Drosophila melanogaster: one gene and its partners. The protein of the gene in region 4 purifies or fractionates together with the protein of the main gene of each other region. This does not show direct contact. Each region holds a gene or a part of one and is shown on either strand. Other genes may lie near its edges.

The links.
Region 1: the proteins of Fkbp59 (region 4) and fabp purify together in Drosophila melanogaster (affinity purification with mass spectrometry, with the first as the bait; one large-scale study listed by BioGRID). This does not show direct contact.
Region 2: the proteins of Fkbp59 (region 4) and Prx6c purify together in Drosophila melanogaster (affinity purification with mass spectrometry, with the first as the bait; one large-scale study listed by BioGRID). This does not show direct contact.
Region 3: the proteins of Fkbp59 (region 4) and CG30496 purify together in Drosophila melanogaster (affinity purification with mass spectrometry, with the first as the bait; one large-scale study listed by BioGRID). This does not show direct contact.

What each region holds. Positions count from the first base shown.
Region 1 is NT_033777.3:11,561,030-11,568,675, forward strand, and holds the start of fabp (fatty acid binding protein), read right to left. Parts: upstream 6,026-7,646; 5' UTR 5,959-6,025; coding exon 5,889-5,958; intron 4,083-5,888; exon of another isoform or gene 3,786-4,082; coding exon of another isoform or gene 3,755-3,785; intron 3,683-3,754; coding exon 3,411-3,682; intron 3,343-3,410; coding exon of another isoform or gene 3,292-3,342; exon of another isoform or gene 3,029-3,291; intron 2,264-3,028; exon of another isoform or gene 2,071-2,263; intron 1,268-2,070; exon of another isoform or gene 1,172-1,267; intron 177-1,171; coding exon 45-176; coding exon of another isoform or gene 1-44. Other genes in the region: sea (scheggia), read right to left, coding at 1-148.
Region 2 is NT_033778.4:10,417,055-10,420,281, forward strand, and holds Prx6c (peroxiredoxin 6c), read left to right. Parts: upstream 1-1,663; 5' UTR 1,664-1,750; coding exon 1,751-1,833; intron 1,834-1,895; coding exon 1,896-2,270; intron 2,271-2,333; coding exon 2,334-2,409; intron 2,410-2,472; coding exon 2,473-2,601; 3' UTR 2,602-2,707; downstream 2,708-3,227.
Region 3 is NT_033778.4:7,697,571-7,702,378, reverse strand, and holds CG30496 (uncharacterized protein), read right to left. Parts: upstream 2,880-4,808; 5' UTR 2,738-2,879; coding exon 830-2,737; 3' UTR 501-829; downstream 1-500. Other genes in the region: Coq9 (coenzyme Q9), read right to left, coding at 1-435, 2,992-3,052; LRR (Leucine-rich repeat), read left to right, coding at 4,233-4,269.
Region 4 is NT_033779.5:9,886,459-9,890,679, forward strand, and holds Fkbp59 (FK506-binding protein 59kD), read left to right. Parts: upstream 1-1,546; 5' UTR 1,547-1,684; coding exon 1,685-1,880; intron 1,881-1,945; coding exon 1,946-2,088; intron 2,089-2,208; coding exon 2,209-2,329; intron 2,330-2,388; coding exon 2,389-2,527; intron 2,528-2,589; coding exon 2,590-2,947; intron 2,948-3,001; coding exon 3,002-3,112; intron 3,113-3,173; coding exon 3,174-3,311; intron 3,312-3,418; coding exon 3,419-3,532; 3' UTR 3,533-3,661; downstream 3,662-4,221. Other genes in the region: CG34183 (uncharacterized protein), read right to left, coding at 3,672-3,864, 3,928-4,025, 4,084-4,195. UniProt on the Drosophila melanogaster protein: May have a role in phototransduction; inhibits or prevents Ca(2+) induced stimulation of the trpl ion channel.

The DNA of each region.
Region 1 (7,646 bases), on a different chromosome or scaffold from region 4:
TGCAGATCTCGATGCCGCCCGTAATACCGCCGGCGACGATGCCCTTAAGGCCCACCTGGCCGCTGTCCGCAGCCGCCGCTCCGTGCTCCGTCATCCACGGACGTCGGCGGTACGGGCTGACAAGGGACGCGAAGGCGGAGCGATCCATGCTGACTGGGTGTTAGGTGGGGAATTAGCTGAAAGAAAATAGTAGAATTCATTTATTGTACTGAGTGAATTCCAGCTGATTTCTGTCCGATTGAATGTTATTTATATCCTATTGTTGTAAATGGATCAAAATAGACTCGTTCTGCGTGGGTGCGCGGATTTCAAAATATTCCCCAAAACTTGTATGAAAATATGGCATTTGTTCTTCATAGATAATGATATCTGAAGTATTCCTTATCATCTATTTAAACAATTTAACTATATCTGTGACGTACAATCGTGAACCGCGTATCTATGCGAATATCGACCTTAATTATCGTATTAAATGTTTGTTTAATTGCAGTTCTGCTCTACTAGTTATGCAATTTCTATGAGGAAAAGAATTCCACTTGGCTGGAATGGCTCCAGCGGGCTCCAATTTAAAGTTAGTAATCAATGCCATTATCATAGGTAACTTCCCATTGTATCGTTGACTCTCTTTTCCCCCAAAACATATTCATTTCACCTTGGGGACAAGGTTCGAAAACTGTGAACGAAGAGTCGACAAACTAACACAAACAGAGCGAAAAACCAAATGTTCGAAAATCTCAATAGTGATTACTTAAGATCGGGTGATATAGTCTGGGACGGTTTGAGTGGGAGCGGTACTATATCAATATCAGCAGGCTCGTTGGTTGTTTCGCTCTTTGCACTTGACAAATTAATATTGTTTCAGTGCGATTACATAACTTTTGCATGACCATAAATTATAATCGCACACAGTTGCAAGTTCATAATTATTCATTTTATGCCGCTGTTTAAGCCAATTTCCGTATCGGTCTGGAAATCTGGATAAACATAAACAATACCCACTGATAAGTCGGCACTGGAAAGTTTCTACCGACTTCCACACACACACACAGACTTCAAAAGCGGTTGATTAAGCCCACACCCACACACTCAAAGCGCACTGCTGTCTGGCAAAAGTCGCGCTTAATTTTTGCTCATGCAGCTTTGCTATCGGGTATTGTTCTCTACTACTCACATTAGAATTCAAAAAACCGAAATAATTATAATTTTGGAAAGCCCAGGCAGCGGTGAAGTGAAGTGGCGATGGGGACAGCGGTTGAATCTCAACTGATCGGGGCTACGAAAAAATTCCATTTTCCAATCGACGAGCGAAAGCGATACAGTGCATCCCGGAACTAACGGACTTTGGATTTTCAGATCCAACAGTCAGCAGTCCGAACAACTCTATCCCAATAGATTTAAAATGGTAGATTCTTCTAAATATCAAACTTTTTGTAAAATAAATTGAATCGATAGACTGAGCACGCTATTCTCTATAGTTCACTGCATCAGGGGCGCACTGTAATTCCAATGGTCGGCGTTTTGTAAACAACAGCACTTCAGCGGTATCCACTCTCCCCGCGCTCAGTAATGTACACAGTAAAATATTTCTATTTTGAAAATCAATCAGAAATTGAAAATAAAAGAAATGATACGTGGATCTATCTAGTAAACGATCCTAAACGAGTAACATACACATACATCAGTTCGATCCTAATAATGGAATATTAAGTTTCTAAAGATTGATTCCACATTGATAAAGGTATTTTGATAGCTATATAAGTGCGTTTCGATTACTTTATGGAGAACTTTTTTCTGTGCAGAGAGTGCGAAGAGTAGCGCCAAAGTAACGTTTTTTTGCTGACACCGCAGTGAAGATCTCTCTTTCTCTCTCTAATCGGAAACCCGTTTGTCCAGCAACAACAAAGTGGACAGAGCTTTTGGGGCGGACTGGAAAAGCTCCGCTGAAGAACAACAAGAAGAACATTTGACTTTAAATTTTGAATGTTAGGTACGCCGCAAAGTAGACCAACATTTTTTCTTTAGCGATTACACAATGAGTTCACACACACACAATGCGCGTAGCCTACGCACACCCACGCGGTAGTTTTATCCAGGTTATCAGAGCATTTAGTGCTACACTAATAAAATCGATAACGGCGCTTTTGCTTTTTAATTTATAACGCCCAATTGACCAACAATTAAGTGTCTACTATTTACCGACTGACGCAACTCGGCGTCATGCGGATACACGTAGTTCTAACGCCGCCGGCAAACGACGAATGTTAACAAAAAAAACCCGGCGAAAGTGTGGCCGTGCTGCCAACTGTCCGCTGATAACGTGTGCGCTTGCGCCAGCCCCCAAATGCAGCAGATGCCACCCACCCACACTTGTGGCACGCACTTGCAACAGACCCCATTCACACGAACAGTGCAAAAGCCCCAGCAGCATTGTGTTTTATACTCAATTAGCAAGAGCAAATGCATCGCAACGGAAACGGAAACGCGTGGGCAGAACATCCGCAGCCCAAAAGCAAATCAGAGACCATTCAGACTTGTGCCTCTTCTCTTTATACATACAACTTCAATAAACGATACAATAAGAAACGATAGTAAGAAACATGCTTTCTATAACCCCAAAGGTGGAATTTCTTTTAACAGTTTGAAATTTGAAACTTTATAATTCATATCGATTCAAAAATATGACCTCCAATTGAAAATGTAATTGAATTTGGTATTCTCGATCCCTTTAGCCATTGAAAATATGACACCCTACGAATTTCGGGATCCTTAACGATAACTTTCAAGCCAAACTAAAATATCTGGCATTGTTCGCCTCACAAACAAGCCACTTAAAAATTCTTTTTTAGGTAGGAACTAAAATTATTTCGATGAAAACACGTTACTTGCTTACTCACAAAACCGTAAATTTGGGAAATAGTTGGAAAAATGCCAAAATATAAATTTATAACTAAAACTAATATAATTTTGATTGCTGTGTCTAAGCTTACATTTCGTCATTAACCTAAGCAACAACAAGCTTAAAAGCGAAGTGTAAAAGAAAGTCGGAATGTTTTAAAAGCACTTCAAGTAATAGTTTATTCAAATGCATTCGGAAATTGGTCCCCGAGTACGAGGAGTATTCCCACATACACCGACTGCGGGTGTACGGGTGCGATTATAAATTAACATTGGGCAGAGCGTGCAGTTCCATTTGATTTGGTTTAGTTCACTGTTAGTCAACAAGAATATTGGCTATCTGAGTTAGTTTTAATGCATGTAGTCGTATGGATATTATAGTTTTAGATCAGTCTCTTAGACGGCCTTGTAGACGCGCACGCACTTAACGTTGCCGATGGTGAGGGTCTGTGGGGGAGGCATTGGATCAGTTAGGTGGGTGTGATGATATACGGCAAGGTATAGTAAGCGCTTACGGTGATCAGCTCGTTGTCGGTGAACTCGCGGACGATGGTGGTGGGCTTGTCGCCCTTCTGCTCCTGCGTCAGCTTGTTGCCATCCAGGGTGATGATGCTCTTGACGTTGCGACCGTCCAGGGTCTCCTCGTCGAACTCAACGCCCAGCTTGAAGCTGATGGCAGAGGTCTTGAAGGTGGAGGTGGTAGTCAGGGTGTAGGTATCGCCCTCCAAGGTCACCTCCACTGTGGGGCTCAGGCTGTTGCCCATCTTGCGCGTCACCAGACCGACGCCTGCAAGTGGAAAGGGAAAAGAAATTAATGAAGTTCCATCTCACGAGAATGTAAGGAAATCAAAGATCGCACCGAAAGATGAATGATGGGGCAGACTGCACATAATTGAATTAGCCCAACAAAGTTGGGGACCCCAAAGCGCTCACAATGCAAATCATATCATATTTAATTAAAAATAATAAAGCCGAGCCATGAAGTTCCCTGCAGATTCCGTTCCGCTGTAACGTCAAAAGTCGTGCTCAAGGTTAACGAACAATGCGGGCCGTCGTCTCCTCCCTCATCCTCATCTCCGCTCTTATCAATTGGCAAGCCCCTCCATGCATTTAAATATAGATCTGGCAAAGCACCACCTTATCTCGGTGCAGCATTCCATATATACATATGTTGTTTGAGGGCAGAACTGTGAATATAAATGCCATTCAAGCAGTGTAAATATATATTTTACTGGCTTAAGTGGTCAAGATCCATTTTGCTGACGTTCCAAATCGTAAACCTTTGAAGTGCTGATAATTACCATCGAAAGATAAGCAAAGCAATTCCATCATTAAATGATAACTTAACGATTGTGAACAATCAATCGTGTTTAAGTACTAAAATTTGTCACTTAATTTTATGGGACTTGTAATTACTGAAATACTATATGCATGCACGTAGCTGTATGAGTAATTTTGCATTTATATTTTTATTTGAAAGAAGTTTCGCCAAATGAAACGTTGAATCAAAAACAAAGTGTGAATCACTGGTACCTTACGAATGTGCCAGCAAATAGGGCACATGTATTATTTCCAATCTAGTACATTGTCAGACATCAAACCAACAAGTGGTCCAATCAATTATGTTCAATTATGTATGGACCACCACCAACTTGTTCTTTTGTCCAGTGCCCTCAAGTCAAGTGTCAACTGGCGTGGCGCGATAAGTCGCCAGGTTCCCACTCATGGGAACCCAGCAACTGTACCAGAGATCGATTTATATGCATCGTATATGACAGGAGAACCTTGAATAGATTAGACTGGCCTGCAATTGCGAACCGTGGTCTATGATAGGGGTGGCTGCCCAAAGTGCAAAATCCGTAATCGCGCCTAATTATCGTGCCTTTTGCGACATTGTATATACTACAAATGTGTGTACATAAATAGGCATATAGTTTATCGCATTTATATATGTACGACAACTGATAAGTGCTGCGAGGCCCCAACGGCAGGTTGATTTTAGATTTGTTTGGGCTTGAAAATTGAGAAGTACGTGGCTTTCGGACCAAGTCTACCATTAAACCGAAGCCGCAAAGTGTGTAGGCGAAAAGTTCTGACGAACTGGTGGTCTGGTAAATAAATCTGGACGCCCGTCTCTGGTTACCAAATGCCACTAGTCCCTATGGCGCGTCTAGACAGGAAGCGATGGTATTGATCAGTTTTAGTGGCACCATATAGTATAATCACGATTGCAATAGAAATTGCACTTTGATCGGTAAGAGAGTCGAATGTGTCCTATATGTAGTTTATATCTGGTGTTTCATTGTTGTCTAAATTGACAGCCGGGCAAAGATCATCGCAGCTATAAAGCTTGTAGTCTAGTGCAAAGTTCACTGCGAGACTTTCTCCCAAAATCTAGTACACAAATAGATAAAACCTGTCGCAAAAGCTAATGGCACTATGATGATTTCGGTCCCATGGAAAGCTGACGGAGGTGACTCAAAAAAGGGGAGCAAAGTTCAGGCCCCACACTTAATTAGTTTTTGGGTTTATGACTACCGCAGATAACCATTTACGGATTTTATACTGCTTGTCCTCCGATTCGCAACTGTAAAGTTGAGAAAGAGGGTGAGGTGAATAACTGGAGCACGTTTTTATTGCTGCAGATGTGCATCTCTTTCTCTGGTCCTATTCTCTATTGATTTTATCTGACACACACATACGCACATCAGCAGATTCAATGAGGTGTCAATTTATGCATGTAGCTAAACTATTTTAACAGTCGAATTCATTCATAATCTTCAGTTGATATAACATTTTCCGGAAGACATTTACTTTTTTCCCTCTCGTTTGGCCAATGAAACTTTTTGCACACTAGTGCGAAAAATGCCGGCCGGTCGATTTTCGGTGGCGTGTTTTCGGCTTCTTTTCTCTCCCTCCACTCCCGCTCTCGCTCTCTCGAGCACTTTGGTTTTCTATTTTTGATGCACTGCGAATTAGTTTTGGCAACTTACCCAGCTCCTTCATGTACTCATCGAAGTTCTCGGACTTGTCCAGCTTGTACTTCTTGCCAACGAAAGACATTTTTGGAATATTTGGTCTGTGTTCTGCACAAGATGTTCACTGTTGAAATTTTCTGAGCGAATGAAAAGCTCTGCGGCGTGCCGGCTGTTATATACTTTCGCGTTGCGGCTACGGCATTGCCAGATGCAAGTTAATGGCCTCTCGCTCTCATTTGATTCGCTCTCGTTCTGCGGCACGGCTTTTGCACGTTTCCTTTTTGTTTGTCTCACAAATTAAAAATTTAATGATGTGGCATCGGCTGAGCATCGGATTACCAGATGCAAAGCCAAGTACAGCCGCCAAGGTATCGAAATGTCGGCGCCAAGCCGTTGGCGCTCTTACAAAAAGCAGCTTTTTTAGGCGCTCTCCAAAAAAAATATTAACGGTTCTATGGGGGCCACCACTCCCCCTCACACCGCATATTGGTAATGGATCGGACGTGTTACTGCCACCCAACGTCTGACCAGCTCCTCCTGCTCCTCCCAGCACCCAAGCACCTTCACCTTGGCGCGATCAATTGGCTGCAGCCTTAATTGGTTCAAAAGCACCGGCCTAATAACGAACGCCACATTGTCATGCTGACAATGGAACTGCAATGTATCTCGCATTATACAGTCAAAACTTGCCTATTTTGGCGCGAACTTTAAACTTTTCTCCGAATTTCAGATTACGCATTGGGAAACCCAATGTGTGCAAGTAAGGAAGGGGAATTTATTTGAAACCCAGACTATCTCACTTTGTAGTACAAAATTATTATTAATATAATATCAAGATTTAAAATTTTAACATACATACACACGTATATTTTATTTAAAAGGATATCCGTTATCCAGGTTTCTGAGTCTCGACTGTTCGCCCCCCATATATTCCGAATTAGTAGACTTTTTTCTGTGGGTCAGTGGCACCATTAAAAGAATCTCCCGAGCTTCTACATTTTACCAATGTGTATAAATAATTTTCGACACAATTCGTTTATATTATTGTTATGAATAACTCTTGATAAGTCGCCGGTGAATTGTAATCTAATCGAGGACTTCCTTCCACCCATGGTCAGGCAATGCAATATTGAGATTACCCACGATCTCCATAAGCCTGCCCATCCCGTGGGAGGGCCCACCTACATGGATACCGACTTGTTTGTTGCTAAGCGTTATCTTATTAATTCAATTAGTCCATGATCCCGCACCCCCCTCACCGATCATCCTTATTATTGCATTGATCGTCATAAATAAAAGAGATTACGGGGGTTTGCCACGAAACATACTTATGTACATAATATGTACTACATATATTATTTATGTATACCAATAATAAGTAACGTCTTGATCAATACAAAATATGATATACTCTCAGTATATCTTTATATATATACTTCTTAATGTGTATTATTTACTGGAGTGGAAGAGCCAGTCGAGCTTTTTTAGTTTCGCCAGTGACTTGAATTTGACCGACGAGATGTGGGCCCTCCAGGTCAGTCCCCGATTTAGATGAACTCCTAGGTAGCAGTGCGATGTGACATTGTTTCCATCAAAAGTCAGATCTGTGCAAGTTCCGGGCCGCAGGGTAAAAGTTACACAGGCTGACTTCGAGGAGTTAATGGCCACATTCCATTTGGCAGTCCATTTTTCGACTGCATGCAGCCATTCCTGGACTGCGTTGAAGAAACATGCATTTAGTCATTCGGAAACTTTAAAGCCCGAAAGTATGCA
Region 2 (3,227 bases), on a different chromosome or scaffold from region 4:
AACATGCGGCGTGGGCGATTGCGGTGCTTATCAAAATCAGCTGTTCGGAAGCTGACTTCAAGCGTTAGCTTTCAGGCGCAAAAGCTCTTCCTACAGTCACCGATGCGAAAATAGAATAGCTTTTGGAACACTAATATCAGTCTCAAGTTGAGACTCTCAGCCAAAATATTGGTTGACTTACATTTGTAAGCCATTTTGTTAATGCATCAAGCTGGTAAGCAAAATCGTCTGCTGGGGCATACTTTCAGGCGAAAACGAATATTTTTATACATCCTTTTGGCGGCGGGTTTCTTTCTGATGTTTTTTTAAATGTAACATATTTATAAGGATTAATATCAACGATATGCGCGGCCAAATTGAATTCTTGCGGCTATAAGTGAAAATCCTCATAAGTTTTAATTAAGAGAGGTAGTCAAAAAGAAACACATTTTCTTACATTGTTGTTATTGTTTTGTTCTTATTATTAGGGTTGTTTTTTAAACAAGATAATTTGTGAGCTTAAATAAGCTGGGTTACAAAATATCGAATATTTTTAAACTAATTTTATTAATTGTTATTAATAAGTAGGTCATTAAATTTTTAACGATTAAAACAAATTCTATTTTCGGTATCACAAAACTGATAAGTAATGGAAAATTACTACAAAACGTTTATTATAGAGACGAAGGTTTCTGAATTCTTAGATTAGACCTTATAACTAGCACCCTCTTACGAATGTACTAGTAACTTAGGAAATACGATCGAGCTATTGGAAGTGAATCCAATTTTGTTAAAGATAACCCACCTCTAAATAAATTTAACACTTGCTGCATTTTGAATATCCATGATGACTATATCTTTTATTTTAATTTCAACCATCTGAATCCCATTTGGGTACTGTCTTCTGAGTTAGCGATCTGCCCATCCGACTTTCCAAAACCCATTCGAACTATTTGTGTGTTTTACTGAAAAAAAAACCTATGCTGGTGTGCTTAATATTCGATAGACCCACGCACACAGTCTCATGATTTCACTCGCTCTTCACTTTCAATTGGAGGCTCGTTTTGTGTACGTGAACGGGAGAGCCGTGCGATCTATGGAAGTGTGCGATTTTTGGAGGCACTCACAAATACCATCACACTGCTCGGCGCTCTCTTGCTCTCAATATCCGCCTATCGATGTGGCTGTATGTTTGCAGGTGTTGGTGCTTCGCCTCTATTTACCAATACCATTTAACATTTAAATGCTCTCTGGCTCTCTGTTTATGTTTGGAACCGGCTTATCTGTCAGCTGGACCAGATCAGCTGTTTGGATGTTAGATGCTAAAGGAGTTTGCGCCTATTGGACTTTTAAAATGAGATTAATGAAGAACCAAATAAGGAAAACAGTACTTTATTCTAAGATACTTCCAGAAGCATTTCGTCTCAAAGTCCAAATTATGTACCACGTTTTGTAGAGGCCCCTGTCGAGTTTCACACACATGACACCATGCTCAAGGTTTCCCACTCCCCCCACCAAAGCAAACTACTCCACAATCTGTTCAGTATTGTTTTATAATCTGTTCACAGAATAATATACTACAAACAAACACGCGCGTTGAGGGAGCGCCCATTTCCTATCTCTATCGCACCCGCTATTTACGTCGATCACGTTGGGTATAAAAGACAGCCAGCTCTCCCAGTCAGTATTCAGTAAGCAACAAGTGTGCGAGCTAAAAGCAGCTACCAGTTGAGCAACTAAGTTTTTTTGAAACTAATAATCAAACAGCAAGATGCGTTTGGGACAGACCGTACCTAACTTCGAGGCCGACACAACCAAGGGGCCCATTAAATTCCACGAGTGGCAGGGCAACTCGTAAGTGCCATCAAACCCTTTTTCTCTGATCGAATCTTACCAATTCTTCTTCGGATCGCCAGCTGGGTGGTGCTCTTCTCTCACCCCGCCGACTTTACTCCCGTCTGCACCACTGAGCTGGGCAGGATTGCGGTGCACCAGCCGGAGTTTGCCAAGCGGAACACCAAGTGCCTGGCACATTCCGTTGACGCATTGAACTCGCACGTGGACTGGGTGAACGACATCAAGAGCTATTGCCTGGACATTCCCGGGGACTTCCCCTACCCGATCATCGCCGACCCTACTCGCGACCTGGCCGTCAGCCTGGGCATGCTCGACGAGGAGCAGAAGAAGGATCCCGAGGTGGGCAAGACCATCCGCGCCCTGTTCATCATCAGTCCGGACCATAAGGTGCGCCTCTCCATGTTCTACCCCATGTCCACTGGTCGCAACGTTGAGTAAGTACCTCTTTCGGGCTACAACTATTGTTAATCTCAACTGACGATCCTTTAATCTTACAGCGAGATTCTGAGGACCATTGACTCCCTCCAGCTGACTGATCGCCTCAAGGTGGTGGCCACTCCCGCCAACTGGACCGTAAGTTTTTCTACCCACTTAATGCGAACTGTTCCGAACTAATTAATTCTGTTTCATAAACAGCCTGGCACTAAGGTCATGATCCTGCCCACTGTCACCGATGAAGAGGCTCATAAACTCTTCCCCAAGGGATTTGATAAGGTATCCATGCCGTCTGGAGTAAACTACGTCCGCACCACTGACAACTACTGACACAAAACCGTTCCCCATTTGTGATCCATTCAATAATGTGCCGTATTTCCTGACATATACTATATACTATGTGCAGTTCATTTATTTAATAAAAAATTATTTTAACAAAATATCCAAACTATTTTAATTGATTTAATGAAAGAAATTTTTGGAGAATAATGTAATCCAATCAGAATTAGGGGAGTTACTGCGATTTTGACGTTCTTTTAGATTGTATAATGTCTGTTTTTTATTTCCTTGCGGATGGTATAGTGATTTTAATCTATTGATGTATTTCTATTGCAGTTGGTAAATAAGTCAAAACTGTATAATATATACGATGGAATAATAGTGAAAATGAGATGGTGTACCTTTTTTGACAAATTATTTGGTTTTTTATTTTATCAAAATCGTAGTGTTCTTATTCGGAATGCATCAGTTTTTAAAACCATTAGTCGTAGAGTAAAAGGATATACTGGGATTTCTTAAAAAGCATAAAACAAATAAAATGATGCCTTATCGACCATATGAAGTATATAAATTCTTGATCATGATCAATATCCGAGTCGAGGCTGAGCTGTCCGTCTGCATGAACGCCTTTGAAATTTATTCATTTTATTATACATATGTTGAACTTTCTCGTTCGC
Region 3 (4,808 bases), on a different chromosome or scaffold from region 4:
GGGCGTTGCACTTGCCGTTGAAGTGGGAGACCAGCGCGAAGCCACCCTCGGGAAACATGCCGTGCACCACGCTAGGATAGCCACTTTCCTCGGCACCCAGAATGATGGCCTGGCGGGTCCAGCCCTGCTGGGGCACATGCTGCAATGCAGCGTCCAGGATCTTTGCCCTTATGGCATCCACCTTGGCTTGCTTGGCGTCATCTTCTGGGCCTGTAGACTCTGATCCTTTTGCACCCAGTCCACCACCTCCGCCTGCTTCTTTTTGTGATGCCTTTTCGGCAGCTTGATCGGCCGCATCCCGCTCCCTTTCGCGCTGCTCCTCGCGGGCTCTAAAGTCTTCTAGATTGGCTTTCTTCTCATCCTTTCCATAACTCCTTGCTATTAAAAATGTCAATGGTCTCGGCTGCAGTGGAGCCAAACGGGAGCTAGTCGCATCTGCAAGAAGGCGAGCCTTTGTAGTAACACCATTTAAGGTTTGAAAAAGCGAGTTTTGTTTTTTTGCCTAGCTAATTCATATATTTGAAATACAAAAACATATTTAAAATGGCTATAAAAATTAGAAAAACGCTGCCAGCTTAGGTGTTAAGTACGCACACCTATGTGTACCTATTTGTGTGCAACTAGATTTCAGTGCGCAGATCGCAATGCAAAGCCCGCATCGCTGGCCAGTTAGTTAGCACACCACAACTGGCTCAATTAGTCGGTTAATTATCGCCCCAGCCAAGAACCCACAGACCACATAGATCAGTTTAAGTTTCGATTTCGTTTTCGGTTCTGTTTACACACAGTTTACGTTATCATTTCGCTTTCATTGTGGACAAACTACAAGCTAAGCATCTGATGGATTGGCAACCCGTCGCAGGCGAGCGGACTGTTCGATGATCTCTCTGGCGCGCAGATATAAAGATTGTAGCGTTTCCAAGCTGGTAATGGAACTGGCCAGCACATCGAGCTTCTCCTGCCGTCCAATGTCGGGCAGCTTGCTCTCCGCGTCGCCGCCAGCCATTCCGCTATTGCTTATGTTGACGGCGAGCATGTTGAGTTGGCGCTGCATTAGTTCATCATCCGAAGCACTCTGACCCTTTTCGACGCGCTCCTTGTACGCCTTGTAATGGGCCATCGAAAAGTTAAGCGCTGTTCCCAGTGGGTCCAGCAATTCCTTTTCAATTTCCGGCAGAGCCTGCCAGAAGCCAGTCACATCATTCTTGTCTCTTGCCGCAAAGTAGCGTAGGATATTCAGAGCATGACACAGGCGATCGGAGTGCAGAAGAAGATCGGATTTCACGTCATGGGGCAGCACACAGACGCAGAGCAGCAACATCTCGCGGAAGAGCTTTCCGCTATAAACTTCCGGCATGGGACCAGATTGCCCTAGCGCCTTGTCAACAAGGTCCTTGTACATCCCTCCGAGGTAGCCCATTAGTCCGCCGTGCTGCAATGTCCCCATCAGATTTTTAAGGATGAGATACTTTCCATGATCATCGAAGGCCAGAACAAATTGCCTGAGCACATGAATTCCCAACTGCCGAAGTGCGACCTGCGGCGAATAGCCCACAATCTTGCAAAGGGCTTCGCAAAAGCGCTTGTGGACATCCAGCTGGAGGGAGCTGGTGGGAACTGAGTGCTGCAAGGTACTCAAATGATGTTCCACTAATCGAAGACCACAATATTGTAGGGGAGGCTCCTGCTGCCTGAGTAGCACTTCAGCCAGATAGACAATCGTTTCGAATAGGAATAAAGGTGCATATACCTTTGGTGCGTTTGTGGGCAGTTGGTTACCCACGAACAGCGAGTGATAGTACATGGCTACAGCATGCAGCGGAAGTTTCTCCTCGATGAGGAAAACATTCTGGCAACTCATCTCGTAGACGCCTCTCGAGGCATCTAGTTTCCTTAGCCATCTGGCACGCTGTTCCACGAGGTTGAGCAGGTAGAAGGGATCCCCCAGGAACTGGTTGGCATCCTGAGTCAGGCTTTCCGTAACCTGCTGCACGTAGGATCTCGTAAGGTCCTCCTTGGCGTGATTCATCTCCAGCAGGGCCAACGGACGTCCCAACAGCTGAATGAAGAAGCAAGTGAATATGTTGCGCCGGTTGACGCCGCAATCCCTGAATATTTGGCTGGGTGTCCGCACATCCTGCTGCAGAATTTCATCGCGGAGCGGCTCCCGAAAGAGTCCCACGGTGATGTAGTGAGCCAGAAGGTCCTCCACCTGTTCGTTTTGCTCTATGAGTCGCGCTTGGGCCTCGTCATAGCCCTCGGAGAGGTATTCGGGCAGGGGCAAATCCTTGAGATGGGTGAAGATGCTATTCAGGCTCCACTCAACGGCCTGCGGCTTGTCGCGTCCCTGTCGCTGCAGCACAACTTGTAGGGCCCGCAGATAGGCGCCGAACACATTGATACTGCTACTCTCTTCCAAGCGCTCCATCAGTTCCAGCATAAGCTCATGCAGTGGGGCGTACTTGGCCAGCAGCTTGAGCAGCTCGTCAGAGCAGTCGAATAGTTCTGGCTCCTGGGAGTTCACCTCGTCGGAAATGTTTTCCAAGCACACGTCATGGTATAGATCCATGGCTATGTGGGGCAGCAGCCGAGTGTTCTTTTCCGATTCCTGGGCACTTTGAAACAACATCCGCACGCCATCGTAAGCTTTTTCCAGCAGCAGCTGCTTGATGAGCCGCAGCAAATTCGACGCCTTTGCCGGGTCCCCCACTTCCACCTCCATCTCCTGCTCCTGCATTTTATTTATTTGCTTTAATTTTTCACTGGTATTTCACAATTTTATTGAAAATAGTCGAAAAATCTAAGGCCGCCGGCATTTGACAGTCAGCAGTTCCCTTTACTAGCTCTCTCTCTCTCTCTCTCCCCCCTTTCTTTCGCACGCACGCACAACTCGATCGAACAGCTGATTGTCGGTTGCGGACTCTCTTTCGTAATGAGCACACGCGGTGAATTCGCGGCTAACAGGTGAATTGGGGAGTTCACACTACTTACTGAGCGGCAGCAGGAGCTTCTGCAGACGAATAAGCTTGTATAAACAGCGCACGTTTGCCATTTAAGCGGCTTGAAGTCGTTGAGGCAATTGAAATCGGTTTGTTTGGCATTCACCAGGAAGCCACTTACGTTGTGTTGGAAAGCGGCGTAATCCATTGCTGCTGTAGTATTTTTGGTGGTTTTGTTTACTGTAGTGATTTGGTATATCTTCAGTGCTTAACAGCTTACCTTCATATTCCGACTTTTAACTATAAAAGCTAACTCTAATATCCCATAATTCCAAACAAACTGTATGAGAAAATGCGAAACACTAAAGAAGTCGTAATCGATTAAAATGTTAAATATGAATTCTAGACATTTCACAAGCTTAAATTTAGCTAGAAAATAGCAGAGCTCGCAGCATTGCTGTTAACTGCGAATGCGTAAAACGGCTGATGTAAACGCCAGCGAAGTTAGAAATATGGTCCTCTCCCAACTCTGGTCACACTGAGTCGAAACTGAAACTGAAACTGGCTGGGTGTGCGGATCGTGAATTTATTAATTTGTTGGCCATTTTCGCAAACTAACTTAACTCGCCGGATTTAGTTAGTCATAAATTAAAGGCACTCCGGTCCGAACAGTACTTCGCTCAGGAATTGCTATCTAGGCTGCCGTTAACAAAAAACCAAAATGCCGAAGGCGAAGTGAAAAAAAACGCGAATATACACAAATATGCTGGTGAACTCGGAGCAAAAGTTCTAAATTCACGAATAACACAAGAAGATTTAAGCCCAAGTGCCGGAGGAAAAGCCAACTGCTGTCTGTGCGGCGGCGACTCAGTGAATTTTCCGTTTTCCGACTCCGCGACGAGGGTGGAAACGCGTGAAAAACCGAAACGAAAGTCCTGCTCGTGTGTGCAAATAATGTGAATAAGAATAAGAAAAGCCTGGAAAAACAAGGAGTTGGTCAAAAAATAAATTAAGGCAGTCGAAACGAAAATATGGGCAAACAGGCGCAATGTCCGATGTGCGGTTTTTAGTGCGGGAGCAGCTCAAGAATCCAGTTTCGGGCTGCAAGGCGTGTCAGGATTGAAATTGAACCACCACCAACACACCAACAACAGCAGCAGTAGCAGCAGCAACAACAACAGCGAAAACAGCCGCTTTAGAGCCAATTTTGTTGGCCCTTTTTTCCTGGTCATTCCTGTTTGACTTCATTTTCACCAAACTTTCGCCGCAGAATTTCGCATATCACAAGACAAAATGTCGACGCGCTCGCAATTAACCAAGGACCTCAACGGTGAGTAATGCTCTTGCTCTCTCTCTTCCTCTCCCCTGGCTCCCTGCTCTCTGCGGCCGCCCCCCCTGCGCCAACCCACCGCCCACCCCTCATCATCGTTCTTTGTTTTGGAAAACGCATGAACAAAAACAAATGCAGATGCATCCCCTCCGCAGCGACGACGTTTTGTTTTCGCTCTTCACTCTTCTGTTTGGGCCGCCGGCTTCCGTTTTCTTAGATGCGACACCCCCAACACACACACCAAACACCCGCACACACGCTCACAAACACTGCGACATTGCCACCCACCAACCCCCCGGGGAAATCCCAACCACTCACAGTTTTCGAAGCACTGATTCGTTAACTTTAACACTCATATTTAAAAATAATACGTGAGTTATTTGATAATCCAAAAAGACTATTTTTTTAATTTAAATAAAATAATAAATAAATAATTAATACATTTTCTAAACTCATTTTTGTGTGCTCATGCAAGAAAGTTCGTAGGTAGATTCCGTGCTAGTTAATTGAGCTGAAAGGCAACGCAAAGTCAGAAAGTG
Region 4 (4,221 bases):
CGAGCAACAGCAGGACCTCTGCCAGCGGAGACGCCAACAGCAGCCGAGGCAGCGTGATTGTGGGCGTCCGTCGCTGGTCAATGTCTCTATACTATACCTGAAAAAATAATGGGCCTGGACAGGGACACGGCTCGGAGCACTCAAAAAAAAATATATATGCTGCTTTCGAGGGAGTCACTAGAATCTCTGGAGATCTGGAGATTCGCATATGCTGACATACTTTAAGCCCAAAAGAAGTACGACTATTGCATACCGAAGCGAAAGTCTAAGCCCTGTGGCACCATTTATAATAGCATCTTAATGGACTTCTAAACGTTTCAGTTGACACTTCTCACAATTAAGTTAATAATCTTTTTTATTATACAATAATATAAGTTTCTAATACATCTAACGTATACTTAATAATATTGCGTATACGTCATTCATATATAAGCCCTTTAGTTAGTTTGATTGTGTATTATTTGATTACTTTTGTTCAATTTATTTCTTAACTATGTATATGTATTTATTAAATAAACTACGTTTTTTTTGAAGGAATATTGTAATATACAATATTTTTCCAGCGTAGTCATCCCTGTAGACGAACCCTAATTAATGAGCGACAAGTGCGCGCCCAGACTCTGGGCTTTTATGAAGTTGGTGCCGAAGCTCGAAGATGAAACGCTGCTGGATGACTGGCTAATATTTTAGTAGGCGGAGGAGACAGCGACAGCTGCAGCGATTTATAAAGACACAGGCGGAATTCCAAGGAAATAATGTCACAGCTGGCTGGTAGGAAGAAGAATGAATCCAGCAACATGAGCACACTTATCATTTTTATCATTCCAGTTGACCTTGAAAAAATCGTTGAATGCCCATTGCGATAATCCCCCAAATTGGCCTACTGTGCGGGAGAGCTTATAGCAGACGAGCTTACGAGCATGAATTATAGAAACCAATAAAATTAAGTGCATTAATTTATTTCTGTTGCTCTTGCGCTGGCATACGAAATTGGAAGTTGGCACTGCCAAAAGCCAAGGGCAAAATAATCAAATATAACAAAAACGATAACAGGATTATATTTGATGCATACACTTATAGGGATGCACATGCAATCATAAAGCCGCTGGGCAGATTACATTTGGAGAGCACTGTGTGTGTGTGTGTGTTGTTGTTGTAGCCGCCAACACAATGAAATGAACAACAGACATCCTTTAATATCATTAATTGCGGCCGAAATGGATTAATCAAGAAAATGACTTGTAATTGTACCAAATAGACAATGAACGGTATATGCATTTTAGCTAATATTATTCATAGTGCCGAACTTAATATATAACAAAATTATTCCTATTAGCTTGTTCGTCATTTTGAAACATATGCGAACTAAATAAAGTTTGTATTTCTAATAGCATTTCTCAAGTTTTTATCGTTAATTAGCTCAAGAAATTTCAATATTCTAGCTAATAAACCATTTTAATAGGTATGTGATACGGTTCGAGTCCGAGCTAGTTATCTGTGTTTTGTACCCACTGCCTTAACTGTCCTAATACTATAGATGGCGCTTTAGTTAGCACTGACTGTTAACTCAGTTCTGTTAAGCGACTGAAAAACGCACGAGCCCAATAATCAATACGGTCTTTCCAACGTGCTTGAGCTTGGTCACTCTGCCATCATCGTGCGAATTAAAGTTCAGCAGCCAAAAATGCCGGAAGGGAATAAAATCGACTTGTCCGGGGACGGTGGCGTCCTAAAGGAGATCCTGAAAGAGGGCACGGGCACAGAGACGCCGCACAGCGGATGCACTGTGTCCCTGCACTATACGGGTCGCCTGGTCGATGGCACGGAATTCGATTCCAGCCTCAGTCGCAATGAGCCCTTCGAATTTTCGCTCGGCAAAGGTGAGTGTGTCGCCGGCAAATTCGCGAAACTTCTATTTAATGTACTTGCCACCGGACACCTGCAGGCAATGTGATCAAGGCCTTCGACATGGGAGTTGCCACCATGAAGCTCGGCGAGCGCTGCTTCCTAACATGTGCTCCAAACTACGCTTACGGAGCTGCCGGCAGCCCGCCAGCCATTCCGCCGGATGCTACTCTGATTTTTGAGGTAGGAAATGAAATTTTATTGGTTAACTAAATATGGAAAATTCCAGATTTTATGCGTTTCTTAAGAATTTTACATATAGATGAGTAACTCCTAACTAACCGTTAAAACTCTTCCTCTTAGCTGGAGATGCTCGGCTGGAAGGGCGAGGATTTGAGTCCCAACCAGGACGGAAGTATTGACCGCACCATTTTGGAAGCCAGCGATAAAAAGCGCACTCCCAGCGATGGCGCCTTTGTCAAGGGTAGGTTTATCACATTCATGCGGTGACTATGTATATCTTATGCGGTTATTCAAATACAGCTCACATTTCTGGTAGTTTCGAGGGCCGCGTGTTTGAGGATCGCGATGTGGAGTTTGATTATGGCGAGGGTAAGGCCATCGGCATTATCGATGGTGTCGAAATTGCCCTGGAGAAGATGAACGTAGGCGAGACCTCCAGGTAAGATAGATCCCTTTGAGCATTAGAAGCTTTTCAGACTAACTTATAAACGCGCGTAATAGAATCAAGATCCAGGCCAAGTATGCATTTGGAGCAAAGGGCAATGAGGAGTTTAAGATTCCACCAAATGCCACAGTGGAGTACACAGTAAAGCTCGTCGACTGCGGCAAGGGACTGGAGGAGTGGAAACTGAGCGACGAGGAGCGCCTGGCTGAGGCCAAGGTGTACAAGGAGAAGGGCACCAACTACTTTAAGAAGGAGAACTGGGCTCTAGCCATTAAGATGTACACCAAGTGCAAGAACATTTTGCCCACCACTGTCCATACCAATGAGGAGGTGAAGAAGATTAAGGTGGCCACGCACAGCAACATTGCTCTGTGCCACCAAAAGTCCAACGATCACTTCGAAGCCAAGCAGGAGGTGAGTACATGCGCTCAAATCGGATAATTTATACATTTGACTATTTTATATTAGTGTAATGAGGTTTTGGCTTTGGATAAGAACAATGTAAAGGCTCTCTACCGTCGTGGCCAATGCAACTTGACTATCAATGAGCTGGAAGATGCACTAGAGGACTTCCAAAAGGTAACCAAGATAAACGTATATTTATTGAGTTAATACAATGTATTGCTATTTATTCGATTAGGTCATCCAATTGGAGCCTGGCAACAAAGCGGCTGCCAACCAAGTGATCATCTGCAAGCAGAAACTCAAAGAGAGCAAGAACAAGGAGAAGAAACTCTATGCCAACATGTTCACCAAACTGGCTGCCAACGACAAAGAGGTATTGCCTACAACTGAATAAATTCAAATAAAGTACAACATTTCTATATCGTTCCTCCGCGTGTTTTCTGCGTTCCTTGAAATCACCAATTTTTCACCGATTGTTAGACCGAACCTCCGCGGGAAACTGACGTGCTGAGCAAGTGCGGAGAGTGGTCTGAAGAGGATGCCAAGCGCGAAGCAGAATTGACGCTGGAGCGCGACAATATAATCATGATCTAATTCAGATCGACTAGTGCTTTAAGAAATATTCCCTAGGGTTTATAATCCCACATCGAAAATCCAGTAATGTAATGAAGAAATGGTCTTAATGCTTATACGAAATAAATATAAACGCTTTGAGAGCTATGTATATCGATGGTCAAGTATTTCGTGGTAGCAGCTGAAAGCTGGGTCTCGTCTCCCTATCTCGCAGCCACAATGGCGATGTGGGCACCTGTGACTTAATATATTCGGAGGCCTTAAAACAGTATCCGGAACAGAATTTCTTGCGTTCTGTGATGTCGTATACTTTGTTTTTGGAAGCGGAGATACTGTACTTTTGCTTGGGAACGCTAAAAGAGTAGTTATAAAGGATAATTATTGGAAGAACCTCTAGATTCTGTTGGAACACTTACTTTTCTAGAACTGTCGAACAAAGTGGATATCCGCAAAGTTTGTTTATTTCCCGCTCATCCACTATGTCTGAATAATTTGGGGGGCCAATCTCACAGAGCTGCGTGTACAGGAAATGCTTAGTCTACCCGTCAAGCTTTTAATTTGCATTATTTTACCAGGGACAGGAACTCGGGCTCCGGTATTCCGGGCTCCAAAAGCCGCACCACGATTTCATGGGCTCTCGCAATCGCCGCTCGTTTCTTTACCACCGCCGCTATCAGTTGTTGTCTGGAAAACAGTGAGTACTTCACTCA